4 linked regions of the Lepisosteus oculatus genome follow. The protein of the gene in region 2 purifies or fractionates together with the protein of the main gene of each other region. This does not show direct contact. Links are inferred from orthologs where the notes say so. Each region holds a gene or a part of one and is shown on either strand. Other genes may lie near its edges. The genes, in order: ankrd52a, ppp6r2a, ppp6c and ankrd28b.

The links.
Region 1: the proteins of ppp6r2a (region 2) and ankrd52a purify together in Homo sapiens (affinity purification with mass spectrometry; 3 studies listed by BioGRID and IntAct, counting the BioPlex papers as one, with this or other methods). This does not show direct contact. The link is inferred for Lepisosteus oculatus from reciprocal best matches to the Homo sapiens genes PPP6R2 and ANKRD52.
Region 3: the proteins of ppp6r2a (region 2) and ppp6c purify together in Homo sapiens (affinity purification with mass spectrometry; 9 studies listed by BioGRID and IntAct, counting the BioPlex papers as one, with this or other methods). This does not show direct contact. The link is inferred for Lepisosteus oculatus from reciprocal best matches to the Homo sapiens genes PPP6R2 and PPP6C.
Region 4: the proteins of ppp6r2a (region 2) and ankrd28b purify together in Homo sapiens (co-immunoprecipitation; 4 studies listed by BioGRID and IntAct, counting the BioPlex papers as one, with this or other methods). This does not show direct contact. The link is inferred for Lepisosteus oculatus from reciprocal best matches to the Homo sapiens genes PPP6R2 and ANKRD28.

What each region holds. Positions count from the first base shown.
Region 1 is NC_090696.1:15,866,641-15,874,653, reverse strand, and holds the start of ankrd52a (serine/threonine-protein phosphatase 6 regulatory ankyrin repeat subunit C), read left to right. Parts: upstream 1-4,999; 5' UTR 5,000-5,141; coding exon 5,142-5,168; intron 5,169-7,740; coding exon 7,741-7,824; intron 7,825-8,013. Other genes in the region: coq10a (coenzyme Q-binding protein COQ10 homolog A, mitochondrial), read right to left, coding at 3,102-3,229. UniProt on the Homo sapiens protein: Putative regulatory subunit of protein phosphatase 6 (PP6) that may be involved in the recognition of phosphoprotein substrates.
Region 2 is NC_090702.1:13,043,866-13,051,687, reverse strand, and holds the start of ppp6r2a (serine/threonine-protein phosphatase 6 regulatory subunit 2a), read left to right. Parts: upstream 1-4,818; coding exon 4,819-5,045; intron 5,046-7,822. UniProt on the Homo sapiens protein: Regulatory subunit of protein phosphatase 6 (PP6). May function as a scaffolding PP6 subunit. Involved in the PP6-mediated dephosphorylation of NFKBIE opposing its degradation in response to TNF-alpha.
Region 3 is NC_090719.1:12,993,176-13,000,625, reverse strand, and holds the start of ppp6c (serine/threonine-protein phosphatase 6 catalytic subunit), read right to left. Parts: upstream 3,008-7,450; 5' UTR 2,917-3,007; intron 1,892-2,916; 5' UTR 1,868-1,891; coding exon 1,793-1,867; intron 2-1,792; coding exon 1-1. Other genes in the region: rabepk (rab9 effector protein with kelch motifs), read left to right, coding at 4,530-4,582, 5,117-5,271, 5,810-5,962.
Region 4 is NC_090705.1:28,200,622-28,208,128, reverse strand, and holds the start of ankrd28b (serine/threonine-protein phosphatase 6 regulatory ankyrin repeat subunit A), read right to left. Parts: upstream 3,005-7,507; 5' UTR 1,374-3,004; coding exon 1,236-1,373; intron 331-1,235; coding exon 247-330; intron 1-246. UniProt on the Homo sapiens protein: Regulatory subunit of protein phosphatase 6 (PP6) that may be involved in the recognition of phosphoprotein substrates. Involved in the PP6-mediated dephosphorylation of NFKBIE opposing its degradation in response to TNF-alpha.

The sequences.
Region 1 (8,013 bases), on a different chromosome or scaffold from region 2:
GGGAGGAAGCAGGGAGGGAGAATTTAGAGCCTCCACGTGTCTGGGAGGAAACGGAAGCGCACACAGGGAGAAAATACAAACTCCACACCCCCTTTTTCCGGGGCCTGAATCGAACCCAGGACCCCTGGACCCGTAAGGCAGCAGCGCCAACCGCCCCCCTCGGCCTGCCATCGGTCCGGGATCCCGATAGGATTCTCTCATTCCCTGAGCAGCCAGCGTTGCCGTCTGCTCATCAGAGAGCCCAGCGAGCGCTCGCTGCCTCCGTCCTGACCTTTCACCTCCCTGCCACTCGGGCCCACCGATTCCGGTTATCTCAGGCCTCACGTCACGTCAGTACAAAAACCCAACCGTCTGCCCATTCTCACATGTGAAAAATAATATAGGGAAAAAAGCATTGAGTTAGGATGCTTCTCTACCTCGTGTAATTAAGGCTTAAAACCTATTGCACTTTAGGGTATAAATGATGCAGAACTCTTCACAGCAGACACTATGGGGAAGCTAGTGAAGGCTATTTTATTGTGCAACAAGGTCAATGGATGAAGGGCAGAAATGTTTCATGTTAAAGCTAATGGCCAGTAACACCCTGTTCTCACAACAGTGATGAGGAGCCACACTGGTACCACAGTATCCAGCCAACTCACGCCACCATTTGCCCCACTGGGCTGGAAAGCACAGGCAAAGCTAACTCTGCCCTGGGGATATCCACGTTCGGGGGGGCTTTGGCCTCCTTGAGTTCCCGCCAGTCACGGTGTGGACGACAGCTCCTCTTTCAGCCCGTCTCTCGGGAGGTTCTGGTTCTGGGGGCCAGCCCCGAGCCGGGCGGGCCGGGCCTGAGCCTGACTGGCGCGAGCAGGTTCGCCCACGCCCGCGGAGCTGCGCTGTCTGTTTGTCTAAAAGCTGAGCTGCACTGCAAGCCTCCCGCTCCCTGGCTTAAGGGAGAGCTCCGCCTGCGGTGAGCAAACACTGGAAAAACAAACCAGACACGATGACACGCCGGCGGCCCCCCAGCAGCCCCGGGTGACAGCGTGCGGCACCCAGCTCCTGCGGCGCCCCCTTCCTGCCACCCTGCCACCCTGCTGCAGGCACCTTATTCACAGAGCACCCCCGAGGGTGCCAAGTCCGCACCCCCCCCCCCAAAAACACACAACAGCGCAGCGATCTCGCCGAGCGGCACCGCCAGGCGGAGAGTCTCTTCAGGCGGCGTACACACTGGGGTCTGGTGCTCAGCACAAGGACAAGAAAGCCGGAACATTCGACCTCCATATTGCCGACTTGAGTTTCACCGGGTAGACGGCACACGACAAAACCCCGCTGATAACAGGAAAATGCCCATGTGGACAATCGCACAACAGTGCCAGAAGCAGCTGCAAATAAAAAAAAAACCTGTGAGGGATTTAGATCTCCTGTGAGTGTGGGCCGATGTTATTTTACTGTATGAGTCAACAGCGGGGAATTGTTTTGGTTTTTTTTTTTTACTTTGTTTTCTGTGCAGAATCGGAAAAAAAAGAAAGTTCTGCTGTTTTCAGTTAAGGAGAAAGGCTTTTTTTCCCCCACATTCACGTGAATAAGAAACAGATGAAGCCGCTTCCAAAAAGAACACACCCACTGAAAAACACTGTAAAGACTCCTGCTTTCTGACTACACAGACAACAAGGGAGGCACAATCCGAGGACTCGGGCCTGTAGTGTATGGAATTCTAGATCTGAGATCTCAGTCTTGCCCTGAGCGGTGCCACAGTAATCTTAAGCCCCAAGGCTGCACTGGCATAGCTCAGGTGAAAAGCCACACTGTGAAGTGAAAAGGACTATATCTGAGCACACACAACATCTCCCACCCTAATTCCATGAAGGCCATGCATTGGCCAGGGGGAGGGATCTACAGGCTTGGGTGGCTGGTGACCCCTTCCGGGGTCAGAGTTCACAGGGGGGTACAGGTCTTACAGGAGACCCCCCCGCCCCCGCGCACTGCTCCCCCTACAGCTGCTGGGAATGGGAGGCATGTGACACACTGTCAGACAAGGTCTAACGTCAAGGTCTCCTGAAGCCTCTGTCTGTCTGCACCAACACTAACTCGCTGCACCAGTCTGGAAGGTCACCCTCTGCCGGTCTGGCCTGAAGCCCTGCCAGCCACCCGACACAGGAGCCACTGTTCAGATGCAAACCCTACAAGAGTTTTCCCCTCTCCTCAGACTAGCGATTTGACATCCTTGACTTGGGCCTGTTTTCTTTAGGTGGCTGGAGGAAGCTTAATGGGAAGGATTCAGCATTTGCAGCATCAATAGGTTGTTTGGTCCATCCACCCACAACCCTTCGTGTAAAGAACTCCCCCCCGTTGTTGAACGACTTGTTTACATGGGTTGTGTTCTCCCTTTACACTGATGTGCCTTTCACAACGAGGAGACTGGAGCCTCATTCTGCTAGTCCCGATCTGAAGTACTGGACCGACCTTCACTCGGGTCCCCGTCAAAACTCTGAGTGAAACAAGACGTCCACACGGCCACGCGCCGCGGGACGGCAGCAGTCCTCCGCGCTGTGTCACGGTTTCAGTGCCGAAAACACGCCAAGGCGCTACGACCGGTTTCCCCCGCTCAGCACGGAAGACTAAACCCTTGGAAACAACACTGCGGGCTGGGCACCACGTTTTGGCAAAAGAGATCAAACGCGGTGTAGTGGAGCCGACATAACAGCGTGTTTTCTTTTTCTCCCCAAAATGTTCTTCTCAAGCGTTTCTCGGGCGTATGGGCTGCCTGCAAACGCCAGAAGGGATGAGACGAGAGGCCCTGGTGTAACATTTCCAGCCGCACTGCGCCGGGCTGAACTGACAGGGTGGCCTGTGGATATTTAGACCGGTTCCTCCCAGTAACCCCTTCGGAATCTGACTCAAAGTTAGAAGGGGGACCAAGTTCTGCTCCCGAGAAAACCCCCCCGACATACTCACGCCAGAGACCTGGACGCCGGCCGGGTCGGGGTCAGACCATACGGACCTGCTCCAGGTCTACAAGCACCCGCGCGGTATCTGCGCTTTGTCTCGGACGCGGACCCACGCGCCCCTCTCTCATTGACGCCGTTTGTTTTGCTCGTGGCAGCGGGGCTCTCTCTCACCTGATTGGCTGTTTTCCTCGGGCACGGGACCCCACTCGGCTGGCGGACCGGCTCGTGCCCAGGGTGGCGATCTCGAGGAGCTCGCTGAACGTCCGCACGCCCATGGGCAGCCGCCGCGCGACGGCCATGGCCAGGTCCCTGAAACGGGGGTGGATGTTTCCTTTCTCCTCAGATGCCCCCCTTCCCCGAAAGAGCCCCGTCGACGGCAGGAAGCAGCCCTCCGCAGTCCAGGAGGCTCCTTTCTTCTCTCCCGGGACGGTCCCTCGGGTTTACTATTTTTCCGGAGCAGCTAATACTACAAACTATACGATATCACGAAGCCAGGACACGATCGATTAACCCAACATTTAAAAATAGCGGCTGTTGCTTTCCAAAATAGGTGACCTTCATGTAGTACCCAAAAATCAAGTTGCTGTCAGCGATTTGTTGTCATTTTTGTGACTGCTTCTTCCTTTTTTTCTCTGTTTTGTACGTCCGTCGTCCTCTTCGCCAAATCCCGACCTTCCGCCAGATACCGGCTCAGTCGCCTCTCACTGTCACTGGAGGTTACGTCATACAGTTGCTAGGCCAACCCCCTGGAATGGGTGTTGCGTAAAACCGAGAGCGTGACAACGTCCGGTTGGGAGGGCGAGAATAAAGCCTTCTGGGATGGGTAGTTTTCTGAACCTTCCCGAGCCGCGATCGAATTGCTTATCTTGGGGGAAAAAAATATTTTTTTTAAGTTTAAATACACCAAGTACAGAACAGTATCATGAAACATTTCATGGGATTATTTAAAATATTTCAACTGCAGGATATTCTAAATTGTTTTTTGTAAAGTTATATAAAATATTATTAATATGGATAATAGTATATATAAAGAATCGTGCATATTCGTCGTTTGCAGTAAAAAAAAAGCTGAATATCGATAAATCAGAGCTCATTATTGTCTCTTAGGTCTGCCGCCCAAGGTTTATTCACACATAAGAGCTGATGAATGTGGCTGCTTGCACCAGCTGCCTCGATATGGGCTTTATTGGCTCAGTCTTCCTCACAGACCCAGACCAGCCTGCACACGCAGCGCAGCTCGGCGCTTAGTTCTGTCACACTAATCCGGGGTGCAAGGACGCCTTCAAAACCAAACCCTGCAACCTGTCTTGTAGGTTTGGACAAGGTTCTTGGCTCCTGCTGCGTCACCGAGAGATTAAACGGGGCTGGGATGTGGCGACTGGGGAGATGATGAGAGAGAGTCACGCCCTGCTTGTCCTCGGTACTTTCGCATTGTGAATCCGGGATCCCGGCATAAACGAAAGCGCTTTCCTGGGCACAAGACCGCTCAGTTTCGATTTTATTCGGAACTGTGCACACGTGACGCACTGTCCGTGGGACAGGGGTGCAGTCGGGATCCGTCAACAGGCTTTTCTTCCTGCGCCGCTGAACGCGAAGCGGAGATTAATTCCGCTGAAACGTAGAAACCCAAACCCCCCTCCCTGTTCGCGACGTAGTTATCTTCTGTCTGCGTTCCGGCGTGGGAATCAGCCTCTAAATTGTCCCCCCGTTCAAACTATCGGTCCTCATTGTTTCTTCCAGGCGGGTCTCCCGGCTCCCCTTTCAGAAGGCCGCCTAAGGAAAATCTGGGATCGTGTGACCCGGCCTGTTTGTGTATTGCGAGTAAGGGCTATAATTAGCCGCAGCAGCAGAGTGAAGTCCCCCTAGCGCTCCCTCCTTCATTACAGGCGGCGTAATTAATTACTCCCACGCAGCGCAGCCTGGGTCTCGTTTCCGAGCACCTCGGAGCCGGCGGTTGCCTTAGCGGCCGCTGCTCGGTCCCGCCAGGGGGTGGCGCTGTCGCTCGCCGCCGCTCCTGTAGGCGGTGTCCCCCCCCCCCAGCCTCCCTCCTCCTCCTCCTCCCCCTCCCTTCCAGTCTACCAGCAATAAACAACAGCGAGCGCACTGATACCGAGCGACCCTGTTCCTCAGTAATAATCATAATAAAACTACCGCCAGTTACCTCTCCAGCCCATCCTGATGAAGGAGCTTCGCCCTGATTGAGTCCGGGAGATGGGAATACTCAACATAACTGACCAGGTGAGGGACCCGCGACGAGCGGAGGGGAGAAACGCGGTGGAAATAACGATCGGGGTTTTTTTTTCCGCTTCTTTTCCGGAGGGCGGGCGGCTGAGACCTCGGCCCGGGCTGACTAGGAAAGGCCGGCGGCTGTAGGCCCCTCGACGTCCTTTTTCGCGTCACATTTTCCCCCCCCTCAAATCTCCTCGTATTTAAAACTCCCCCCGGGCAGGGCAGGACTGGGTCGCAGTCGCGGGTGGTGTTAGATCTGGATTTTCTCTTAACGACCGTTTCTTTGTGTGACTTTTGTGCGCTGTCTCAATCGTGTAGTTTTTTTTTTCCAATTGCAGCTGCGGCCGAGGGATGAGGGACGCGCACTCCCGTCTCCGGGTTGTAATGTCAGACACAGAAGGGGGTTTTTCCGCCGCTTTCGGTTCCCGGAAATATTTAGCTCTTTTCCATGCTTAAAAAAAAAAATTCTGCAACTATGAAAATGCATCTTTTTCTACGATTGTCCGGAAATCTAAAGCGCTGTACCTAGACAACGTCGTTTTTATGTGTGTTTGCATGGTGAGGCGGAACGTTTTTGGCTAGTGATGCTGCCGAGGCTAGCTGAACGCAGGTCTTTTTTTTTTTGTAATTTTGACACAACCTTTTTCCAGACGCTTGCACATTTAGAGGAAAGACATTTGGCAAAAGCGATTCCGTTGCAATTGGTCTAAGCGGTAAACTGAGGGCTGGCGGCCCACCCATTAATCTGTAGGGTCGCGGCTCACCTGCCTATCTTAAAATAAAAGCGAAAGAATATTAATGGGTGAATTGTCCCCCCCCCCGCCGTCGTTGGGAAGGGAGACGGGGAGGTTGCCAAGAAACGCGGGAGTGTGTGTTTGAAGATGTCCGAGCACCTGAAGGTGCCTGCGCCTGGCCGGGGTGTTGAGCTCAACACTGCGCGTCTCCGGTCAGCGCCCAAAGCCCCATCCGTGAGCCGAAACAAGGCGCCCTGGCAGATGAATCGTTTTATAAATACAATATTACCGATCTTTTAAAACGTTTTGTGGTGCAGTGGGCATGAAACTAATGAGCCACACATTTTATACTGTCCATGGTGTGGATTTTGACCCTGGTCTGAGTGTGACGTGTGTGTATATATGCGTCGTTGTTTTTGCTGCTCCCATGACGTCGCTGTTAAGGCCGTTCCAGGTTTTGCCTGGAGCAATGACGAGGCACTGGGAAGCAGAGAAGGCGAATGTGTAAATATGTCGTCTTAACTTTGCCTGTTATGCTTCCAGCGCCCCGTGTGCGAACCCCGTGGTTCAGAACATTAAATCTCGAGCCAGACCCGACACCTCTGCCCAGAGAGTATTGCTAGAACCTCTTGTGATATGATCTGTGTGGTGCAAAAATACGGCAGTGTTAGGGATTGTGTCCACACAGTGGACATCCCTGGAGTGCTTTGCCTGGCCTAGAAGCCGTTTGACAGTTAGGGCTGTAGGGCTTTCAAGGGGTGACGGGAAGGTCTTCACTGCGGAGCTCCTGAAGCCAGGCAGGGCCTGAGGGATGCGAGTGTTGAAGATGTGGGCAGGTCTCGCTGTGCTCTGGGTCCCTGCTCCGTCTTTCGAAACCCTGCGTTCTGTTCACCCTTCAAAGATCAATTTGGCCCTCTTAACCAGTATGGGGGGGGTAATGAAGACAGTTGGCTTTTTCCTTAAAGTGAATGAAGGAGCAGATCTTCCTCTGAAGGCCTGTGAGCCGCGTGTGAGCACCTGAGGGAGGTACTCTGTGTCCTTCTAGCTCGGATCCTGTGATCTCTGCTAGATCGTGCGGTGAACCTGTGACCTAACAATCCTGCGATTTATTTATTTGCACCCTGCCAAAGGCGGATGGGGAACCTCCATTCTCTGCTGGGCTTTGCTTTACAGGACAACAGCCCTGTATTTCCATGTTTTCGCTCTGTGTATTATGGCGAAGGTGTAGGAGACGCCTCCTTCTCTTTCCATTGTTAGCATCCTGACTCCCCCCCCCCCCCAATAAGCAGATGAGATCTGCCTTTCCAGGAAAACCCTTTGAGGGAAAAGAAGATGAAGCCAGTCGAGTCGCAGTGCGCGCAGTCCTGAATAGTGCTCAAGTCGTGATCCGTGTTTGTTTTTTTTTTAAGTTACGCCGGCTTCCCTCTACCCCTCTTTACGCAGAGGGTGGCGGGAGTCTGGAGCAAGCCACCCAGTCATGTTGTGGCAGCTGGTAAACTGGCTTCTTTCAAGAAATGGATGGGTCAGATCGTGGCATCCATTACAATGTCTTCCTGCCGAGCAGGCGGTGTAACCTTTCTCCTGTTCTTGAACTACAAACCCAAATTGCAGAACGGCGCGTGCGAGGAAATGCCTTTATCAAACGGCATCGGATGGATGTATAGAATTGTATGAACGTGAGGAGTCCAGGTGTTCCTCGCCCGAAACAGTGGCTATTGTTCGTACCCCAGCTGCTGTGCTCTCCCTAGGACAGTGACCAGCCATGCTGTCTGCCGAGAGGATGAGAGGGTGTTTAAGTGCTTGTGTGTTATTTCTAAACTCTGAAAGAGTCTTGTTTTGTCTTGCAGCCCCCCCTGGTCCAGGCTATATTTAACCGGAATGCAGAAGAAGTTCAATTGTTGTTGCACAAGAAGGAAGATGTCAATGCACTGGTGAGAACTGCGGTCTTTTTCTTGACACGTTCTTCGCGGGTGGAGTCCATAATTATTAACAAATGGTTCTCTTGTGATGGCTCGTGGGCGATTGGGCCTGGCTTTGGTTGGTGTGCCTTGCTGTGCACATTCGATAGATCACTTTGTGATGTCTCTTTTGTGCGGCGTTCTACAAATCGAGTCCCTGCC
Region 2 (7,822 bases):
TTAAGATAAACTGCTTCTCAACTTGCTGCTTTGTTGCAAAAAGTTATTGCAAGTCTTTTTTTCATTTTCCAATGCAGGCTTCATAATGTAGAAATACATGGCTGATTACTTTAGGTTCTGTAGAGTGCTGCCATTCAGTGCAAGTTTATCTTTCACTAATGATAAATTGTTTGCTCAGTTGAATGCAATCTGAAGTAGTGTGCAGATAGAGTTTTAATTCCCTGACATTAAAGTAAAATCCGTATTTTTGGTGTAGTGAATTTGTATCATACTGTAATTTGCCAAGAGACAGAAACAGCTGTTACAGAAAAGGCAGTGTTCAGATTGTCTCAGTCAACAGTCCTGACATTTAACGTTTTGATGGGTTCACCCATTAGCTTACTGGCATTTTAATCAAAGGTGAAGCACACATATTTGTGATGAATCACATTTCATTAAACACCTTCTCAGAAAGTTGATAAATTTAAAGGTGAATGCATATATGATTAAAAAATGAATAGGAATCAACTATCTGCTGGTACTTTCAGTAAGTCACTAGATGATTCAATTCATTTTCTCTGTTATAAAATTAATACAAAAACAAATTTACATATAATGCTAAAGACTTTTCTCATTTGAATTTTTTGAATATGTTCAGGCAATCTGCTAAGTATTGTTTGCTTTGTAAACTGTTTTCTGCATGCATGAAATCTGTACATAGGGATTTAGGTTTTTGTGTTTCAAATGCATAATTGATTTCAGTTTTCTAATACCTTACTCAAATAAGTCACAGTGTGTTTTGTGGAATTATCGATAAATTGTTAATTATATGGAAAAATATTCACAACGAACCAGGGGCCGTTGAAAATGAAAGAGGTTGTTAAAAGATTGATTTTAACTTAGGCTTTTGATTTATGATTTAACGGTGTGTGACAGGACACATCTGTCTGTTGCCTGGAGGCAGATTTGTTCCATGTTCTAATATTATGTGAATACATTTCTATCATTTCTTGAGTTGGGTTATGCAAAAGGACATAGTTGCACTTTCATATTTCTGTATTTTCATAGTTGTATTTTGAGATGTATTTCTGGTTGTCTTAAGCACTGATGTGTAACCTATTGTTTTGACAGGTTAACAACAATATCTCAGCTGAGGTGGAGCAAAAGGAGAAGTTCCATGCTGGTTAATGAAAGCATTTTTATTATTCTGTGCACTCTGCAATCTGCAAGACAAATGTTCGCCTGCCTGTGGAAGAGGTTTAATTAAGGATACACACATTTTATTGACAGGTATTGTTTTTTATTGTGAAGTGAGGGTATTTAAAGGTTTAATATAGTGCCTTCCATACGTTATGGGACAGTGATGTCAAAAGTGCTGTTTTTGCTGTATACTCAAGAAATTCAGATTTGAGATCAAAAGATGAATAGGGGATAAATTGCAGAATTTCACCTTTTATTTTGGGGTATTTCTGTGCTTACATGTTGTCCCACTTTAGAATAATAACACTTTTTGTATTCAATCCCCTCATTGTAGGTGACCATATTATGACAAATTAATTTAAAGTCAATTAAAGTAGTATAAAACTTCTGGAGGGCACAGCAGAACAGTGCCCTTTTAAACAGTTTAATCCATGTATACAATCTCAGAAACTGCTTCTTCCTATGACCCTGGATTATACCGAGAAGCAATTATTGTAATTAACTTTCCTGTAACCGTTATCTCTCACAAAGGTGTGGAGGAATTTTGGCCCATTCCTTCTTCAGATCCCGTCACGTTTCGATGGGATTAACTTTGACTAGGCCATTGTAAAACACATAATTTCTTCTTGGGCAGCCACTCTTTTGTAGATCTTCTTGTATGTCAATGTTAATTGCACTTTGGGCTAAGCTTTAGGTCACAGTCAGAAGACATGACATTCTCCATTAGAATCTTCTGATGTGGAATTCACAGCTGCCTCAGCAATCCAGTACCTGAGGCAGCAAAGCAGAGTCCCAAACCATCACACCCCCACCACTACCTTTCACTCATCAATCTAGGCATCATTGTTCCAGATGCCTTGTGAATCATATATGTACTCTTTGTTGAACTTCCGATGGGCAGCAATGTTCTTGATGGTGAGCAGTGGTTTTCTCCTTGATATCCTTCCATGAACACCATTCTTGTTCAGTCATTTTCTGATAGTTGAATTGTGAACAGTCATAGTCAGCAGGGTGAAAGTGACCTGTAGTTCCTTCTATGTTACTCTGGGGTTCTTTGTAACTTCCTTGAACATCTTCTGGTTTGTTCTTGGAGAGATTGTGGGTAGAGTGACTGGTCTTAAAAACAATTTCATTTGTAGACTATCTGCCTGTGGATTGGTGGAATCCTAAATCGTTTAGTATGGTTTTCTAAGCCTTTCTGAAATGATGAGCATCAACAACTCTTTTTCTGAGATCCTCAGAGATTTCTTTAAATTGTGGCATAACCTCTCTTAACACCCCTGTCTGGTGAAGGACAAACTCAGTGTTTCAGATAATTATCTAAGGTGGAGCCTTCAATCCCTGAGATCCACCTAATTACTTAAACACCAGTTTCAAATTATCCCCTTAATTGAGCTGATGATGTTCACTTACTTTTTCACATACCTTGTATCTTAATTAGTCATTGCCTGTTTTATTCATACATAACCAATTCCATGTCCCTTGAAAGAAAGTTACTATAAACCCTGTTGGATATTTACATAAAGTGTTTTGGATTCAACAAGGCTATTATGGTAAAATTGAGAAATTTCTGTATTTATCTTTGGGGTTCAAACTTTTTTTTAGCAATGCACACAAGAGAAGGCTCTATTGCTCATAGTGTAGAGCCTGGTTTTTGGCAGAGACCCACAAGATAATGTCTTGTAGTGTATCCAGGTAAAAAGCTTATGATAACCTGGAATTTGACTATTAGTGCCTCATAAATGAACAGGAGAACATTTCCACTCTAAATGTCACTAGGCATTAATGTATTTTGTGGAAGATGGGAGTTAAGTACTGCAGTGTATTCATGTCAAGACATGAACTGCAGAATTCTGGTCAATGTTTAGTTCCCTAAAATGTAATATCAAGGATACCAACATTTAATAATGAAGGCTGAGAAAAGATCTTAAACAGTATTTTGCAGGTGAGGCAAAAATACCCTTGATATGTTCAATTTATTGTCATATGTACATGAGTATAATGAAAAGCTTACTTGCATGTTTTCTTCACATTCCTAACATTAACTTTAAAATATAGCACCAAATTTTCCTACTTTCCTTAAGGGTTTGATTTTAGCACTGTCAATAATACTAAAGTCACTGACTTTTGCAGGGTGATTTTAGGTTAAGTTTATAGACTTCTAGTCTTGAAACCATTTGTTAGGTCCTTGAAAGTTAGTTCAGATCCAGATGTTAGTATTGAACAGACATCTATTAATTACAGAAGCTCCTGCGGTAGTATCTGATTTGGTCTGTAAATTTAAGTTTCTCAGCACAGCAAGTGAAATCAGTGATGGGGAATGATCAGACCAAGAAAAAAATAATGTAAATAATGAAATGGTTAAGTTCCCAATATAGAACCCAGAACACCCCCAAAATGTGAGCCAACACTTTAAAACACTTAAGGTTTTCAAACCGGTTCCAGCTAATTGCAACCTCACTTTTATGGTGTTTTAAACAGCTCATTGCCACAAACGTAAGTATTAAAAATATGCTTATTCAAAGCAGTTTATCACGGTCTTATTTTTTTTTTACTGTAACAAACATCCACAAGTAGCTGTGTGCTAACTCCTACAATAGCTAAAGGTTTGTCATTCATCCAGCTCTGCACACAAAAATGTATTTACCACAGAATTGAGTACGACACCAATTCAAAACTAAAACAAAACCTTCTTTGAAGTGCATTTGGGGTCTTTATAAACTGAATACTTGTAGTTGATTTCAGTCTGCCTTTGTAGTTTAATCTTGAGCTATTGCTGAACTGAAAACTAACTTTCGAGAGAGACATTACAATAATGTTAATTTATACAATTGCCAGATCCAATAGCCTGGGTTTGATTACCCCTGTCTCTGGTTTTGGGAGCCTTCGTTGTTCCATATTCATTTTGGAGTGTAGGGTTATATTTTAACAAACATAGTTGAGCTAAAAGGCTTGTGTCAAATTTAAAAAAATGTCAAATTAAAGTCAATAAACTGTAGGTACTTTTTGCCATTTTCTGTTTTAAACTTCATTTTCAGTTTCGCCTTACCCAGACCCCTACATAATACCATACTCTACTGTTTTCAGACTGAGACAGCACTTGTAATATTGTACCTAAATGATCAGATAGATTCTTAAATATGATTCCTGAAGTCATTTTTTTTCTCAGATACTGTACTGTATATTAAGCTTTTTCATTTTTGAAAGTGATTTTGTTTGAATGAATTGTACAGGTAAATGTCTTCATTCTTCTGCAGTTGCAAATCTGAAACAAAAGCTTTAAAGCTTTTAAGATAGTCATATACATAACACTACTTGTTTTTGCAGTAACCCTAATGTTATCCAGGCAGTATTGTTTAGATTGTTTATTGGCTCAATGCTTTTTTGGTCAGTGTCACCTCACATCGTAAAACAAACTCTCCCAAGGGGTCTAGAGCTCTTGCGTCAGCCCAAATGGGCATTGCATACCAGTGCTTTAGCTCCATTTTTTGTCTCATTAATCGTGATGAAAGCAAAGATCAAAGAATCCTTGTCCCAAAGGCGCATTTACTTAATCCAGGCCTACATCTGGTTTATTACGCCTTAACTGACCTCATCGGTAATCGTCGTATCGTCTTTAGATCTGTGTGCCTGATCACGATGTTCTGGAAGTTCGACCTGCACACCACCTCCCACATTGACAAGCTGCTGGACAAGGAGGATGTGACGCTGCGGGAGCTCATGGACGAAGATGACATCCTGCAGGAGTGTAAGGCCCAGAACCGGCGGCTGCTCCTCTTCCTCAGCCAGGACCACTGCATGGAGGAGCTGGTCACTCTCATCACTCAGGAGCCTCCACAGGACATGGACGAGAAGATCCGCTTCAAGTAAGCCCGCTGACTGCCTCGGTGTGTGTGGGGGTCCGAGGTTGTGGGCCAGGGGTATTGCTAATTTTCCCATTACTCTGATCGGAGGTGATTTGAAGGTATTGTTTTACTTCTTGGTGAATAAAAAAATAACACTTTATCCCTTTTAAGTGAAACATTTTCTTGGAGGCAACCTAAATAATGCAAAATGTGGGATCGGGATTGTTCACTCTTGAGTAATTTTGAGCTGTGCTTAAATTGAATAAATACATCCGATCTTCAGTCGGAGATCTCAAGCATGCAGTGCATGCAAGAAGAACTAAGAATATTTCTGGAGCTAAAAGAGTTCTGCAAAGAAGAGTGGGGTGTGGGTGGGTGGGGGGCTTTGAAAGCAAAAATAGAAAGACTCTTATCTGCCGAAGGGAAATGTTTGGAAGCTGTGATTTCTACCAATGGAGGTGTTACTAAGTATTGACTGACAGAGTCAAACTTTTGCTTGTGCCGTATTTACTGTTTTATTATTTTGATTATCTATGAAACTGTAAATAAATACTAATTGTACATTAAAAATTTGAGGGAAGATGTGATGTTTAGGTTTGTACCACACAGAGGTTGTGTCAGCTTGTTTTCACTTGCAGTTTCAGCTGTGAATCAACAAACAGTTTGCCCAAGGGTTCCTGAACGTTTGAACACAATTGTAGGTACTCATAAAAGGAGTTCAGAAATGCCCTCAGTGACTTCTTTAAACCAAGTTTAAAGAACACTCCCTCCTTGACTATAAAGATGTAATTGTTTTATATGTCCATAACACACGACATCCTTCCATAAAAATGTATCCCTTGCTGCCAACATGCGAACATATTGTATTATTGAAAGCCACTTATTTTTTGTTTTAACTCTTTTTTTTACCTTATTTTATAGCATGATTTCTGACAAACTGCATTTCAAACATATTGTGATCTCTTTACTATTGGTTGGCACAGTGAGTGATATCTACCAGTGGAAAATTAATATTCAGCACATAGTCTTTAGCTCAGTCTCCTGTCACCTTGTGATTTTTTTTCTCGTTTCATCCAAGCAGAAAGATGATCAAGATGCTTGGGTATTCCTGTCCCCTTTTCTAAAATGCTCTGTGATTCAGATTCATGTGTATGTTTTGATAGCTTGGTTGTGTTCCTATGGCAACAATGCTTGACTATAAAAATAAAAATAGAACCACAGCTGCTGTTCCTCAAACCATGATGGCTCAAAAGGAAATGCACCTTACCTGTCTCTGTATCTTCAGAAAACAAATGTTTGAAAGTCCAAATGTTCTTTTGGTGTGCAGTGGCCCCAGGGGTCCTGTGCCATGTCACTAGCCTTTTGACCTGCAGTTGTATTCACAACTCCCTGGTATTCTGTTTGCCTCAGTGTTGATGTTGATGGGTTCTTTTTGCAGCTTAAAGCTGCTTTGTATCATGCAAGTAGTCTTATTTTGTTAAAACCATACGAGAAAGCAAAATTAAGCACTTCCCTTCTGGTGAAAATATGTGATGGAAGTTGCTATTTCAAAGTGATTCTGCATGAATGCAATCAATAATTTGCAGTTTGTCATAGCTTTGAATTGTTGGTTGATTACCTAAAGAAAATGCTCTCCTTATTTTTTGTACATTATACATGTACATATATGTATTTTTTCAAATGATGTAGCTGTTAAGCATATCAGTGGAATATAACTGGGGAAAAAACTATTAGCCTACACTCACATCTGAAGTTTTTCAACTTAATGAAATTATTAGAGTATATGCGTTCCAAAGAAAGCATCATGGAAAGATGTTTTTTTTAAGATTGTTACCTAAACAGCCTGCTTCCTTCTTGTTACTGATACAGTTCTTTCACAGCAGTTCTTTTGCGTAATCTATGAGGTCAGCAGCACACAATTCTCCAGTCCATCTCAAAGTTCTATGACATCATTGTAATTCAGATTACCATGCTTCTGATTCCAAGGTGTTAATCAGTGTGAAATTAGACATGGTTTGGTCGCTTGCAATTAATTTATTTCTGTCCAGATTATGCCACATGAACACTGAAATGATTAAAAAATAAAATAACATGGACCATGTTGACGTAGTTTGGAAAGAGACCCTCTTGGGGTTTTTTTAAGTGCATTTTCCTTTTTTGAGCTGAGAACAGTTATGCAGTTACTGAGGAAGCAAATTCCATTTTTGAAGACGTTTATTTATTTGCAATTAGACTTCAGCCCTTGATGACGCAAAGTGTTTGTTTAATATTTGGTTTCTGAATGATTGCTTTAAACCATGATCCAAAATGACTGTAAAATGAAATTTCTAACAGTGGTTTGGACATTCTCTTCATGCAGTTTTTTTTAAATCCTTTGAAATGAATACAGTTTGCCAGTAGTCTTGTGTCTATTTGATTGTAATGGTTTTCTGTTACTTGAATGATACAGAGAACGAAAGAGATCTTAATTTTCTATAATATTATATAAAATAACAGTGGGAATGCTTCACTTAAATGCGGTAAAAAAACACATAACTTCTGCATAAGTGCTACACAACATGATTTAACAACATATATAATTATTTTGCAAACATTTGTGCAAAAGACATTACAGGCACATTTTGGTATCAGTTAATGAAGAAACATGGTTTCACTTGAAAGCTAAAACCTCAGATCAGAATGATCGAACTATTAAGGACTTGGGAGCAGATAGTGTACAGTTCAGCAACAGTGGTCCTGGTATGTTAACGTGAACTTTTATTTTTCTATATATGTTTATCGGTGGTGTTTTATGTTCA
Region 3 (7,450 bases), on a different chromosome or scaffold from region 2:
GCTAGAGGGAAGAAAAGGAAACCGCATTAAACCTGGACATCTGGATGACTTAACTGCCCATTTTACCATTTTGCTACAATTTTAATCATCATTGCTTTTACTATCACTTTTACTGTGCTGTCTTGCATTAAAAAAGGAAAACACAGACCCACCCCACTATCAGTTCACTGCATGAACAGGGTCTTCTCTAATGGGCAAACTCCTTTCAAACCACTGCAAAACGCTTTCAACCTCAAGCATTTACAAGAAGGTTCTAATTTTTTTTTTTAAACAAAAGTACAATTTGAAAAATTAGGCACAGCAAATTACTCTCCGAAAGCGTTTTGGAAATGTTTTGGCATGAAAGGTTTTATGGGAAAAAAAATACTCATGAAACCGTGAAAGTGATCTAGACATCATAAATTAACCTCATTAAAATGTTTCTAAAAGTAGTCCTAAAAAACGTAAAGCTGGAAGTTTAACACAGTATCATAGACGTCTCTTTGAAGCCTGAACAAATTCTCTCCTGTGGTATTTTACAACACTCTTTGTAAACATTCGGTATCTGATGGAACTGCCGATGATAAAGAGTAAAAAGCACACTTACAAATTACTAAAGGAATATCATCAGCTAACATTATAGAAACCCACGCCCTTTTAACATTCCTGGCCCTGACCGAGGCAGTCAAAAATGAACGTTCTGTTTAAAGACAGCACATTCTGGCTTTCTGGGAGGAGAGAGTTGCTTTCAAGCAGGGTTTCTCACAAGAGAACCCCTGTTCAGGCACAACATCAAATTCATATACAATATTAGGCTAAAATTTGCTATTAATTACAACATATAATCTTTTAAAACAGCCAATTCACAACCCACAGTTTCTTGGGCTCCTCTGCTGTTTCTCTGAGAATATCTAGTTGAAATCTAGGTATCCAAAAGTTTCAACTATTGTTTTAACATATCTAATCTAACTAAAGTATTAATCCACATTCAATTTGAATGTGAATGAAGAAATTAAGATTTTTTTTTTTACTATTCTTACAAAATTGGAGTTGTCACAGTGTGACAAGAACCGGGTGGTGGACTACATCTATGTTTTTAACTGTTTTTTTAACCCTGACACTAGGAGGTGAAAAGGAACTCAAGTACATGGTTAACAAAACTTCAGTCTTGTACTATTAAGTTATTTCGTGGCTTCAAACAGTAGCGGAGTAAACATTTTTAATGCAGATTTAATAGGTTTTAAATTCAGAACTATTTGATAATTATTGATAAGCGTCACTTAAAGAAACAATGTCATATTTTCCAACATAAGGACTAGGAAACTCGTTGGCTGTCCATACACCTGACAGTGCAGTTCAATAGTCTATCCAGGAACATTTTGCAATACCGTGCACTATGTACTACTCTCCTTTCGGGACCTGAACAGAATTGTACGTTCGAGACTAAACCATGATTTTTTTTACCTAGTCATTTGTTAATGGACAAATACGCGCCGTGTTTTTCTCAGCATGTTTCGGCAATTCCTCGTTACTGTGTTTTTTTGCCCTGTCTTCTTCCGGTCTGTGCCCGGCTTCCCTTCCGCATGACTGTTTTACCCATTTATCCTCAGACACACATTTCTGCAGTGAAAAGCATGTGTAAAGATTTAGTTTTGATTCCTCTACGGTGGAAGGGAATAACTGTTAGCTATCAGGCATACCCTATATCCTATCCTCATCTATAATGCCCCCCATGTACAAAAGTCCAAGCTCGATTTAAAAGCGGTGCAATATTAGCGTAATTCAGCTCCCGACAAAATAGTTATCCTCTCACCTTTAAGTCGTTTTCTGGGAGGTATTTGCACTGTCTTGCGATCTCCACATACTTATCTAGATCCAGCGGCGCCATTTTAGGAACAACAACTGTTACAGCCTGCGAAAGGGAAGAGGTAAAACGTCACTTCCGCTGTGTTTTGGCCAGACACTTGCAGTCATTTTTCTCCATCTGATTTAGCAGCAGCCGGGTGCGGTAATCTGCAGTAATTCTGATTGAAATTCGGCTATTTATATACGCTTCCGGCTCATTCGTGTCGCTTGGTGTAGCTTCTCACCCTGTGCCCTGAGGCAGCTTCCCTCTTGCAACAGTTCAGACAAACAGACAGCCTTACCTGTAACAATACACAAGACTTTCAAGACCCTTCTGGGATCTAAAGCTATTCAGATTTCCAAAAATGCCCGTAGGTACCGAACCAGGTATATTTTGACATAGAATCTAATATTAGAGAATTTCTCACGGAACAGCTATGATCCAAAATTGGACTCCCAAGCCCTGGACTCCTGGAGGTTTTCTTGCAGTTAAATGAGGTTTTTCCTTCCCCCTGTGCTGTGCAGAATGTATGTGTCCACAGGATGATAGGCCAGAAAGCTGAAGCAGCATTTGAATGCTGTCTGAGTAGTTCTACACTCAAAATAATGAAAGCTGATCTGATTGAAGAGAAAATCCGCAGTGTTTTGATACAGAACACCTGTGAAATTGACGCTTTATTTAAAACCAGAAAGGATGATCCACCGGTGAAGTGTTAACAATGCCCTTCAAGAAAAATCTAGTATCGGCCACTAAAAGACCCCTATAAACTCCAGCAACATTGGCAAAGGACGCTCATCTGGCAAAACCATGGTTATATACTGTTAGCTGGGGGTCTGTAGAACAGATTTGAACTACTTTTGGAGAGGCACAATTTATTTTTGTGTCAGGAATGAGACTTTTTCCTGTCTAGCAGTGCACAGCTCTGTGTCAATTTGCAAGGAGGAAGTGATATAAAAACAGCAATAGGATTACAAGAAAGCAGAACAATAATGAAGAACGACAATTTCCTATTACCCGTGGGTCTATTTATCACATTCCACCTAGTTTTGAGGATGTAAAAAATTGTTGTTGTGCTATAAATGTGACTTTACCTAGTTCAGACCAACCACAGACCACACCACATCTCCAAGATAATATTCCTTTTTCTTCAACATCCCTTTCCAATTGTGAACTGTTCCATTTTGTCATAGGCAAGATGACAAAAACACAAGAGGCCGCATACACCAACGGGGGTAAATTAATTGTTTCCTAGAGCATGGGTTTCTTCTGTTTTTTATTGCAGCTGGGCTGTTCAAATTTCATCGAATGTCCCAGATTATGCTATTGTTGATGGAAAAACAACAAAACCATCTTGCTTCACAGAATGACGATTTGTAAGCTCATTTTTGACGCGGAAATCGTATAATTACAGTAAGCGCCCAACTATGTGAGAAAGGTATTTGCTGTTGTTACCCGGTGGTGCAATGCAATAAAAATATTTAAACTGATACCACAAGCGAGGGTCATAATGAGACTTTATTACGTCACGTAAACGTGGCATTAAGTTAGAACGAAAACACAGAAACAAAACTCTTCACAAGCGGCGGAGACGCCTCGGTTTGACGGTTTCTCCTGCTTGGTCCACGATGAAGGTCACCGCCGCCGGCCTCCTCCGCAGGACGTCCCAGGGCCGAAGGGGGCAGCTGCAGTTCGCCGTGCTGTCCGGCAGCGGGAGGCCTTTACCTCCCTTTCTCTGCCTCCTGCCCTTTCATGGGGTTTTATGAGCTGTGATGAATCACTGGCGCTCGGCACCGCAACGCCACGCCTGTTGTGTTGAGTGTTGACTACTTTTTTTTATTGTAGATTTTTAGGTTCTTGCCTATTTTGCGATTAGGGGAAAAAAATGACAGATGCATGTGAAAAAATTTAAGATGGCCATACATACATAACCACCTCCAGTACGTCGACGTCACTCTAAAGAAGCTTGTTGGCGTATCCATGGTTTCCTGAATGTCTCATCCCATTGGCTCTGCATGGGAGTGCAAAGGGCAAAGGTGAAAGTGCACGGCGTGTGGTGGCAACAGCGCCTGGAACTGCGGCGTAAGTGTTGATGATGCTATAGACGTAATTTATATGTGACAAAATTTAAATCGGATGGAAGTGCGGGTGGTTTGTTAGGCTTGACCGTTTTACTTCGTGTTAGCATGTCCGGAACGGATAGACTTACAGCTTGCAGCCAGATATTTCCGCAGACGCTTCAGTGTTAACAACGCGATTTAGACGGAGGATGGTAGGTTTGCTGTTGTACATTATAATCAGGCACACAACGGATCTGCTGTGTGCATGGCATGATGTACTTTATCAAAATGTTTCAGCGTATGCCGATAACTATACCTCTATACTTGGAGTTTAAAGAAATCGAGGAGGACGGACGTGTGACATTAAACGTCAGTGCGGATTGAATTTAGCCGAAACCTCTTTGTGACGGTGAGGTGTCTATCTTACAGATATAAGTAGTATCATTTAAAAAAAAAAGTTATTTCAGTTCAATACTCCATCACTCGTTAAATGAAACCTTATGAATTGTGCACGGAGATTTAAGTACCTTGAATGAAGTTTGAAACCAACACATGCTTTAGGCTGATACACGTGCCTTCTGCATGTTTAGGTGGGCTGCTTGTGCGATTTCCTTTGCGTGAAGAGCTAGCACCGTGTTTCCAGATTAATGGAGCTACTTCAAGTACTGGAGCCTGAAGACAAGCCACAAGAATCAACCTGGTCAGTCACAACCTTACCTGGTCTCGGAGATTCTAGGGTTTATGGTAAATGACGTTGTGTCAGTGCATAAAATCCGCTGGTAGGTATTCAAACAAAAGCATACTGAACTCTGAGCTCGTTTGCAGGTAAAACACAACGAGTATATACTGTTTCCAGTAAGAAGTCAAGTCAGATTATTTTTTATTGTTATTCAGTAAGGATAAGGATAATAATCTGCTACAGATTATTAGGTAACATTTCGTTGGTTAATGAAAATGAAAATCCACATGGTGGTATATAATCAGATTCCTATAGTTTATGAATATTACATCTGTCTGAAACTGTACAGCCTCTATTTTCGGTTTAAGCAGTCCGGAGAATCCAACAGCTAAAACATAATCCTGACTTTTTTTTTTTTACATTTCAAGGAATTGTCTCTACTGAGCTCATACCTGGCAAAGCTCTGAAGCAGGGTTTCGCCAACCTGTGTGTTTGTAATGAGAAAGCAGCTCCTTGTGACGATGGCGGTGTCGCATGTTGTGTCTCTGGGTCTAGGTATGCACTGGTGCCCGCAGGGGAGGGGCCGGGCGAGAGGGTTGGCCACACCTGCACCTACATTCCCGGGAAAGATGGACACAAAGGGAAGATTCTCATTGTTGGAGGAGCCAATCCCAATGGAAGCTTTTCAGATTCCTACATCATCGATCTGGGTAGGATTCTCATCCTGAAACCTGGTTAGGGGACATTTGAAAGGCGGCAGTTCTATGCTATAGACACTGCATGTTTTGAGCTTGGTCTAGATATCAAGAGATCTCAATGAATCTAGCTTAGGGTTCTAGGGTGGGGGGTTTAAATATCTGTGTCCCAGTCAGTCACTGTAAGAAATAAAGACTTGATTAAGCCCAAGGCATACCTTTGCCGGTATTATCCCTTTCTTTTCATGGATTACAGATGCTGGCTTGTAAAACGAATAACTGAGGCGCTAGTTTGCTATTGCACCATACAGCAACTCCTAGGCTGACTTCGAGGTGCAGTGTTTATGCACACAGTTTCCGTGCGTGTCCTGTTTTATAGCGCTCGGTGAACGGAAACTGAAAGGTCGCTTTGTGGCCCTTGATAGGAAAGCGGTTCTCATAATCTTTTTAAATGGCATGATTGTGCAGAAAAAAAACAAAGCAGAGCTTCCCCAGCGACAGGAGACAATCTGAAGACGTTGACATTTCATTTTTCAATTCATCCGTGGGACAGATGCCCACGAGTGGGACGTGCCGGCCTGGGAGGGCTTGCTGCCCAGATACGAGCACTGCAGCTTCGTCCCCCAGAGCAGACCTGGCAGCCTCTGGGTGTTTGGAGGGGCGGAGCAGAATGGCAACCGTAGCTGCGTGCAAGAGTTACAGATGGGTAAAAGCACTTTGGTACCAAGCCTGGGAACAGCTCCAGTTCAATTCTCTCTGACAGTTAAGTAGCTGCATTATTACTGCAGTTATAGCGATTAGTGTGGATGTTTGCACGTAGAGGCAGCAACACCCTGTTGTTGTTTCCGTAACATTAGTCGTTTACAGGACAGGGCTGTTAGCCTTGAACTTGAACTTGAACTTGAACTTTATTGCCATATGTAACCGGTACTGGTACAATGGAATTCTTACTTACAGAAAGTCTCTCGATTATAAAACAAGTGTAAAAAACAAAACAAAGTGCAAACAGTGCATCAAGACAATGTACAAACAAACAATAGACAATGTGCAAGTAAACATGCAGACAGTTTGAATGTAAACAATACAGACGTGTAAACAATGACTGGAGACGTACAATTAATAAATTACAATGAGGTAGATGGTGATGGTGTAGGTGTGGTCCGAGGGGGATGGCTAAATGTGTTCGCCAGTCTCACTGCTTGTGGATAGAAGCTATTGAAGAATCTAGTGGTAAGTGTCCATATGCTCTTATATCTCTTGCCTGAGGGCAGTGGGGTGAAGAGCTCATGCCCTGGGTGGTGACTGTCCTCTGTGATGGCCAGAATTCTACCACGGCAGCGGTCCTCATAGAGCTGTTTAATCTCGGTGAGACCGCTGCCGATGATCTTCTGGGCCATATTGACCATTCTCTGCAGTGCCTTTCTTTCTCGCGAAGAGGTGTTGCCATACCACACGGTGATCCCGTTGGTGAGGACGCTCTCGATAGTGCAGCGGTAGAAGTTCACCAACACATGTGTTGGCATCCCCCATCGCTTGAGGCACCTCAAGAAATAAAGGCGCTGCTGAGCCTTCTTCATGATAGAGTCAGTGTTCACAGTCCAGGTTAGACTTCGAGTCCCTCCAACAGCACAAGCTCAGGCTGTCGAGTGGAAAACGCGCTCTGTACGTTACCGCTGTTCATGTCCTTGACTGCTCGATATAAGCGCCCATCAAACCCAAAACCTTCTTGTTCATTCTGTTCTTAGTTTTAGTGCCTCACACACCCTATTCTTGATTATTAATGAGTTCTTAATAACTTGATTATTATTCCCTCTGCATACTAATGGCTGGGCCCCCTGACTAGCTCTGCTGGTAGAGCATGAGACTCATAATCCCAGGGTAGTGGGTTTGTGTCCCACCTCGGACGCCAGGTCCTCCACGTTGGAGGTTGTGCACAAGGCAGTCAAGGACATGAATAGATAAAGGACTTTTTTTTAGAAAACCGGTCGCATCTTTTGTGTTAAAGTCAATTTTTCAGCTGTATTTACCTATATATTCAGATGCAAGAGGGGCAGAACAGCGGTAACGTACAGAGCGCGTTTTCCACTCGACAGCCTGAGCTTGTGCTGTTGGAGGGACTTGTCCTGATGAAAGTCCAGACGGAGCCTGGAGAATCCAGGAGAAACCACAGGGCGATCAGCTAGGTGTTTGAACG
Region 4 (7,507 bases), on a different chromosome or scaffold from region 2:
TACCATATGTCATATGAAAAACATTTTTAAATGCATATTCACACAAGATTCAAGTCAAAATGATCCTAATACTTATAATGCCCAAAAATATTCATTAAGATGGCATTTGTGAGCAATGCCAAAGATAAATGTTAATGTATTATTTGGAAACACTTAACCAAGCAAACTACTTTTTAATTTGAAGTTATTTTGCAGCTGAAATTTCACATTACAGAAAATCATCTTCTGTTACACAAGACATGTTACCTGTACATTTACATCTTCCTTCTTAAATATGAGGGAGCGAACTTCATCTGGATCCACATTAAATATAGCTTTCAGCAGTGGTGGCTGAAACAGAGGAGAGAGGAATAAATATATTAATATCCCGTTGACAGGATTACATGTTAGGACTACCATGTGCCATGGGATCGCTTACGCATCAGTTTGTTGTAGCTGGCATCAAATACTCTATTCAGTATAAAAGTAGGAGTTAATCATTTCCAGGAAAATGGACTCCTCCCAGTATAAAATGAGCAGTTCAAAAATTGGACAATGCCAACGCCATTTGTTTCAAATGTCTGTTTTTCGATAGGAATTGTCCAAATTTCCAACAGATCTTCTGTAGAAAATTACCAGAATTATTTTTTTTTCATAGTCAAAAATGCACAAATTATCAACTACAATTTCGGTTTACAACAGGAAGCTATGTTCGTGCGTGAGCTGCAAAGGAAAAAGTAGAAGTTAATTCCACACTAGAAAGTAAAAAAAGACACCTAAAAATGTTCAACGTCTGAAACGTTGCATTATGTCTTAACTCTTTTTGATCTTTGAGTGAAAATTATCTCTGCATATCACTGTATATTTTGCATGTAATAAAAAACAAGGATTTGCCCAGCACGCACCCCTGAAAAAAGCTGACCAATGTTACCTTAAATTTCAATTTAGACAAGACTCGTTGTACTCTTATGAACATCAAATTTCTAATCATAATATTTTTTTGAGTTCTATAACTAAGACAGTGTTAAAAATTTTTACAGTCACATTACTAGACGCAGCAGAGTAACACATTAAATGCTGTAAATACTTTAATGTAATGGTCTTATTTACAAGACTAAGACAAAAACACAATCCCTCCAGCCTCTGAGAAAGTGCCACAAAGGCACTGTAACTACTGAACTGTTTCTTTCCAAAACTTCATTTTCTTTAAAGAGCTAGTAAGACAGAACACATTTTATAAAAGTTACATCTCTCACCTTTCTATCTTGAGCATTTGAGTTAGATGCAGGCAGGGGATAATGTTCCTGAGAAACTTTCGAAACAAAAGTGGAGGGATCATCTTCCTCCTCCTCTAAAACAACAATGCACACTCGGCTCATCCGATCTGCTTTCATTCACTTCTATAATATTCCAAAGTTTCCAATGCACTGCTCCCGCAACAAAGTAAGATACACAGCTGCCCAACAAACGCTGTTTTAGGACAGAGAACAGGGAAGCACAGAAGTCCACACTACAAGTTTCATAATTAAAGCACGCTTCAATCAGATGCTCATTATATTAATCAAGAAGGAGAAAAATTCACATTTTACATTTGAAACCCAAAGGAGCAGAACCTGCACATAGACGGTTCTAGTTATGGATCATTTACTTTGATTATTTTAAGCCAATATTCAAAGCCACCGAACTCCCCATTCATTCAGAACGCTGCTGAAAGTAGCAATATGACTCACATCTGCATCCAGCAACTGCGCTGACAATACTCTTCCTGTTTACAAGCTAGTCAGGCACATTAAAACAATGCTAAGCTCATCTGATCCTTTGCATACATGAGAATATTCTTTAACTCTGAGTGCAACCAGTCGTACAAGAGCAGGGATAGTGACACTGCTGATCAGGCTGCCTTCTCCGGAGTGGTTGTTCATCCGCACAGAGTGATAATTGTTGTGGGTGACAGGACGGCAGTCTGTAAACAGCTGTGAAAGCAGCAAGCCATGTTACCAAGACATAAAGAGAGATCTGAAGCAGCAAAAATCGCACAGAAAGCCAAACAAAAAAAAGTCAGGCTGTAGACAAGGTCAGTGCCATTTCCCCATTGTAGTCCTCAGGTCAGATTGTTCCAAGCTGCTCACAGAGGTTTACAAGTCTCACTTGATTATCCGTACAGATTATCCCGCACCTTCCTGCTTGTGCATGCTTCCCTCTTTCAGTTAGCTGACACAAAACAAGATGCTTATGTGCTGTTTTGCCGCTGAGCACGGTGGGTGTACAGCAGATCTGCTACTGGGTAACTGAAATATATTTCCATAAAGTCCGATGAGTCAGTCCATGTGCTCCAGTGGGAATCCATCTACAGTGCTAGGAAGCACATAATTAAACAGCAAACACAGGATATTCTCATAGGCACTGAGATTTCTGTGCTTATGCCCAAGTGTCCCCTTAGTCCTGAAGATGCAGAATTCACTGCAGTTTCCTGTCGAATAAGAGGGGGAGGTGCAGTGCTAGTTTAGTATGCTCCACTTGCAGTAGTGAATGAACTGTTGTGTGTGAAAGCTGGAATAATTACCACTGAGCACTTCCAGCAGAAGCCCTTTATCACTTCAATGCCTGCTTTGATACGAAGCAATAAAAAGGGAGGTTATTATCTTCTGCTTCACTTCTTAAGAAATCCAGTAAAATGTTACAGCCTAGTTCAGTTCCTCGAGCATTTGTTTTAATATTCTTTAGCACTGTTCAAAAACACTACTTTTGCAAGAAGCAGTCCTCTTTAGTATTACAATCCTCCACTTTCAGAAGCTCGGAGCCTTTAAAATGTGAATTTAACAGTGGGAAAAAAAACAGCAGCTCTGCAGAAGAGAAATCACTATCTTCAGCAATACAGCACAACCACACTCTCTTTTCGCCTTGATGAACCACCTAGTAACATCACAGTGCTATAATTCCATCCAGACCAGGATCAAAAGATCTTTCAGTAGCTTCTCACTGCCTTTCTCTTTAGAGCTATGTTCCCTTGTAGGCGGATTTCCCAGACGCACAGTCTGCTAGAGGAGTGACTAATCAGCTCGTCCAATAGGACTATGCAAATGAAAAATGGCTAGGCTTCAATACATATTTTTTCCAGTGGAAACTGGAAACAATCAGGCATCGATGGCAAGTGGTTCTCTAGTCTCCCTCTTTATAGGAGAGTGACTCTCTCCAGCAGGCAGTTTTAACTGCTTTCATATGAACCAGCATGTTAAAGCATTTCAGCCTTACCACACAGTCTTAACTCTTTATAATCTGCAAAAGTAGAGTAGAGCTTATTGTTTTAAAATGTCTCACTACAGCCCCTTCTGCCTTCATTTACAATGAAAACTTTTTTAAAGCCTCCATGTCATTACATTGAGCACTAACAAATCAAATGTAATCAATTCTTAATTGTTTAATCCAATACAACATTGAACATTGCTTTAAAAATGTTTATCACCTTCCTTTTGCCAGTACATACTCAAACAACTGTAAAGAATCATTTTTTTATTTTAAATGACAGGGTAAAGATACATATTATTAGCTATAAAATAAGTCCTTCACTTTTACAGTACTACTGTTCTCAGAGCATCAAAGTTTAAATGCCAGCAAAACAGACTGAAAGGCATTTTTGAGCAATCTGTATAATAAAAATACAAAACAAACATAAAACAATACAAATCTGAGATAAATAACAATACCAAATAATGTAATAAAGTACAAACCACAAACCAAGTTGTTCATGGTGCCGATATTTATAATTTTGAATAATTAAACACCTTAAAATACATGCACTAGAAAACATGGCAATTTCCCTTATCCTATGAAAATATTTTAAAGTAACAAAGGAAAATCTTACAATGGTGATTATATTCCAATAAAAGAAAAAAAGGTTAGATTCCCCGTTTAATATTTGAGTCACCTTACCTCCTTTTGGCAACAAAACAGGCAACATGATTTACAAAGTATTTGCAAAATGAAATAATTCTGAAAATAAAATGTATAAAATGCCGAATGTTAATCTATAAAAGACTAAAGTGGAACGGAGAAATCCTAAATAAAAAACTGCAAAGGCAATTAGATCACTTTAAAAATAGCAACAACCCAAAGTAATGCACCCTGTCATGCTTATTACGAAAGACTAGAGCCCATGACTCTGAGATGAGACCTTTGAAGGACAGTAGGTGCAGTAAACACGCACAGAAGCTAAACTATGGCTTGCTACTTTACACCTCCAAGAATGTCCGAGGTTAGGTACTAAAAGTCAAATATGACCTTTCGGCACTATTTATCTTACATCCAAAATGCAAATACATTTAATGAATGTTAAATCATTTCTACACAGGTTAACAATACACCTTTGATCACACTGCCTTGCTTTTTTTGTTTTCTTCACTGACTTATCTTCTCTTTATTGAGGTATTTCATTTCAAGCGTCACACTGCCTGTATTGTTACCATCAAACAGGTTTTTACCAGACTAATAGAAATGTGGTGCTGGTTAAGAATGGAAAAGGGCAGATATATTCAGTGAATATTTTTTGCAAAAACTATATGAAGCCATATACGATTTGTTTAATCAAAAAAGCTGCCAAGACTCTCACCAGTAACAATAATAAAGCTCCCATATTTTGTGGAAAAAGAAAAAAAAATTAAAATTAAAAGTATAATTTCCAGAAAGAAATCCCAAAAGGGCTTTCAAATGGGTCATTTTGCACTGTAGTAAAAATACAACAGAACAACTACAAAATAAACTGTACAATCAAGAAATTCAAACAATAAATTATGTATACGACAATTAATAATGAACAACACAAAGCAGTTCAAGCATTTACAGGAAGACTTTGGCATGTTAGTAACTAAGAGTCATGCGGAGGCAAAGGAATTTCAGTGCGTCTCATTCAGAGTTGGCAACAATGCAGATTCCATATTATTGAAACAACAAGGCACCACCCTCCGTCTTTCCTTTACTGGTTACAAGTGTCCTGTTTTAGACATGCATGGTAGTTCTGCAGTATGGTATAGTTTCTCCAAACAAAATGATCACTATGTCAGTGGAGCTGGTCTTAAAATCAGCAACATGGGTACTATTGCAGTCCATTGAACGCTTTAATATTTGAAATTAAGAAGACAAAAACACTTTTCTAAAAAAGACACCCAAGTCATACATAATGCACAAAAGTGCTAAAATATTGCATTTTTGGAACAAAGGAGGCTAAAACATTACTTTATAAAAATAAGCAATAATTGTTTATAAAATCTTTAATATGTAAATATCATTACATGCTAAGGCTTGTAAGATAAAGGCTTAAACTGATTTTTCTTTTTTGAAGTTTGGCAAAGGTCTTGATACAATTCAAAATAGGGCTGCCATCTACCTACAAAATAAGAACTTCACTCCAATCAAACAAGCTAAACACAGACCTCGTCTCAACTGTAAACTGAATGCAAACAAATCAGAAAACACTCAAGTTCAGGAACAGTTGCAAATGCACAGAATTCTTAGATTTGTGATATAGAAGACATAGAAATATGCAACTCTCTGATACTAAAAGTTGCAGATGGCCACTGTTTCTCTCTTTAGATTTAGACCACAATTACAAATTCTCGTGTACTAAAGACCCATTTACATTGGGCAAACTAAAGCAATCCGAATGCAGTACCCTGCTCAACAGTACATTAGCAGTGCGCCATACACGTAAGGAGTATGAACTTGCATCTCGGCAGTCCAAATACCAAAGCCCCAACCACTACTTTCCTACTGCTGCCTAAAGAATGACAGAAATCATGAAGAATCCGGATCACTTCAATGTATAAATAAAAAGGCAGAAGAAGACAAAGCCGAATTATTTATTCTGAATACAACTAAAATACTGCCTAATGCTAAAATTGAAGTAATGACATATAAACTAAATTCAAACTCTTTTTAACACAACGCTCTGGAATACATTTTCTGGAAATCATTCAATTTAGTGTAAACTAAACTACAGCCTTAACATAAAATCATATCAATTAGCAGATACAGGTTCAAGTTCTATATACTAATAAAATAATAATGCTATTTATGGTGACAAATACCAATTTGTAGCACATACACAATGTTAAAAAAGATACAGTGATCTCAGGTTGGTTACTCCAGTTATCAGTTGGTAACTCCAACTGAACACATGCAAATTAACATCCATAAAAAAATAAGAAAATCAAAATACATAAGTGGCTCACAGGAACAAATATCAGCCACTAACTGTTCATTTTCAAACAGCCAGTAAAAAAATACTTTACTATAATAGCACTTATTGTACTTAATCACCCTCCTCCTTGCTAGACCCCAGAATTTGCCAAGTACCAAGTATTTCCAAAGTAAATTCCTTCAAATTACTTATACACTCTTCAGATGAAATTAGTACTTGTATATAGAATGAGCACCATTCAACATTAGGGTTGGGTACCGCCTGTGGAAAACATCGCTGCATACTGTTAACTATTTTGTATTTTATATATGGAGACCCTCTCATTTTATGATTAGTTAAGCATACTGAGTTGTATACAAAATAAGGTAATGAAAATTATGTTGTTTTGTTGTTTTATTGGAATGAAAGAACTAGAAATAACACTGAACAGTGAAACAGAACAATTAAGCAACATGCAGAATTTTGTCAATCATTAAAGATTACCTTCCTCAATTCTTGAATCCGATTTACATTTGTTAAGCCCAAAATCTTCCCAAACATCAGATTTGGCCCTTGTGTTATTGACTATCTCATACCGCAATTTTGTTTGATTGGGAATGCCCATAAAGATGAAAGTCAAGGTCGTTCTGAACCAATCAGCTACGGTTATTTCCGCGTGATTTCCAAATTCCCATCATATTTCTAAACTTTATAGCCAATGATATGCAGGAAATACCTTTAGTATGACTTTTTTACTCACCCTTTTAAAGTTAACAACATTATCACAGTCATTTTGTTTTTATAATCAAATTTGATTTTATGAATGTAAACAGTGGAAAATCTTTGTTAAAATTGAAAAAATAAAACCACTGATGGAAATTGCCGGAAATTACAGAGCGTCTAAATGCCGGAATGCAGGTTTTACCGTGCACCTCTATTCAACACTGAATACACATGAAGTTCTACTGGAGAGGCCTACTGTTCAAATTGAAAAAGGCCTCCCACAAAGAACATCTGGCTTAACGACAAATGCCACTGGAAAACTGAGTCATATTTGACATAAATATATATTTTTAAATAAAACTTCAGACTTCTAGGGTGGAGTCTTCGAAGGCATTTTTTTATTTTAAAAAAAGGTTGGTGACTCACATAGCCTTGGGCTTTTCCAACCACAAGAACATATGACTAAGTATGGATTCCAGCTCATTAACTGCTAGAGCATATTTTATTCTTTTCAAACTTAAACTGTTACATGAAACATTTTTCTTCACTTTGGTTTCCTTTAAATATGAATAAAACTTTAAATCTGTAAAACCACTTTTAAAACACTGCTCAATGCTCAGTAAAGAATGAACC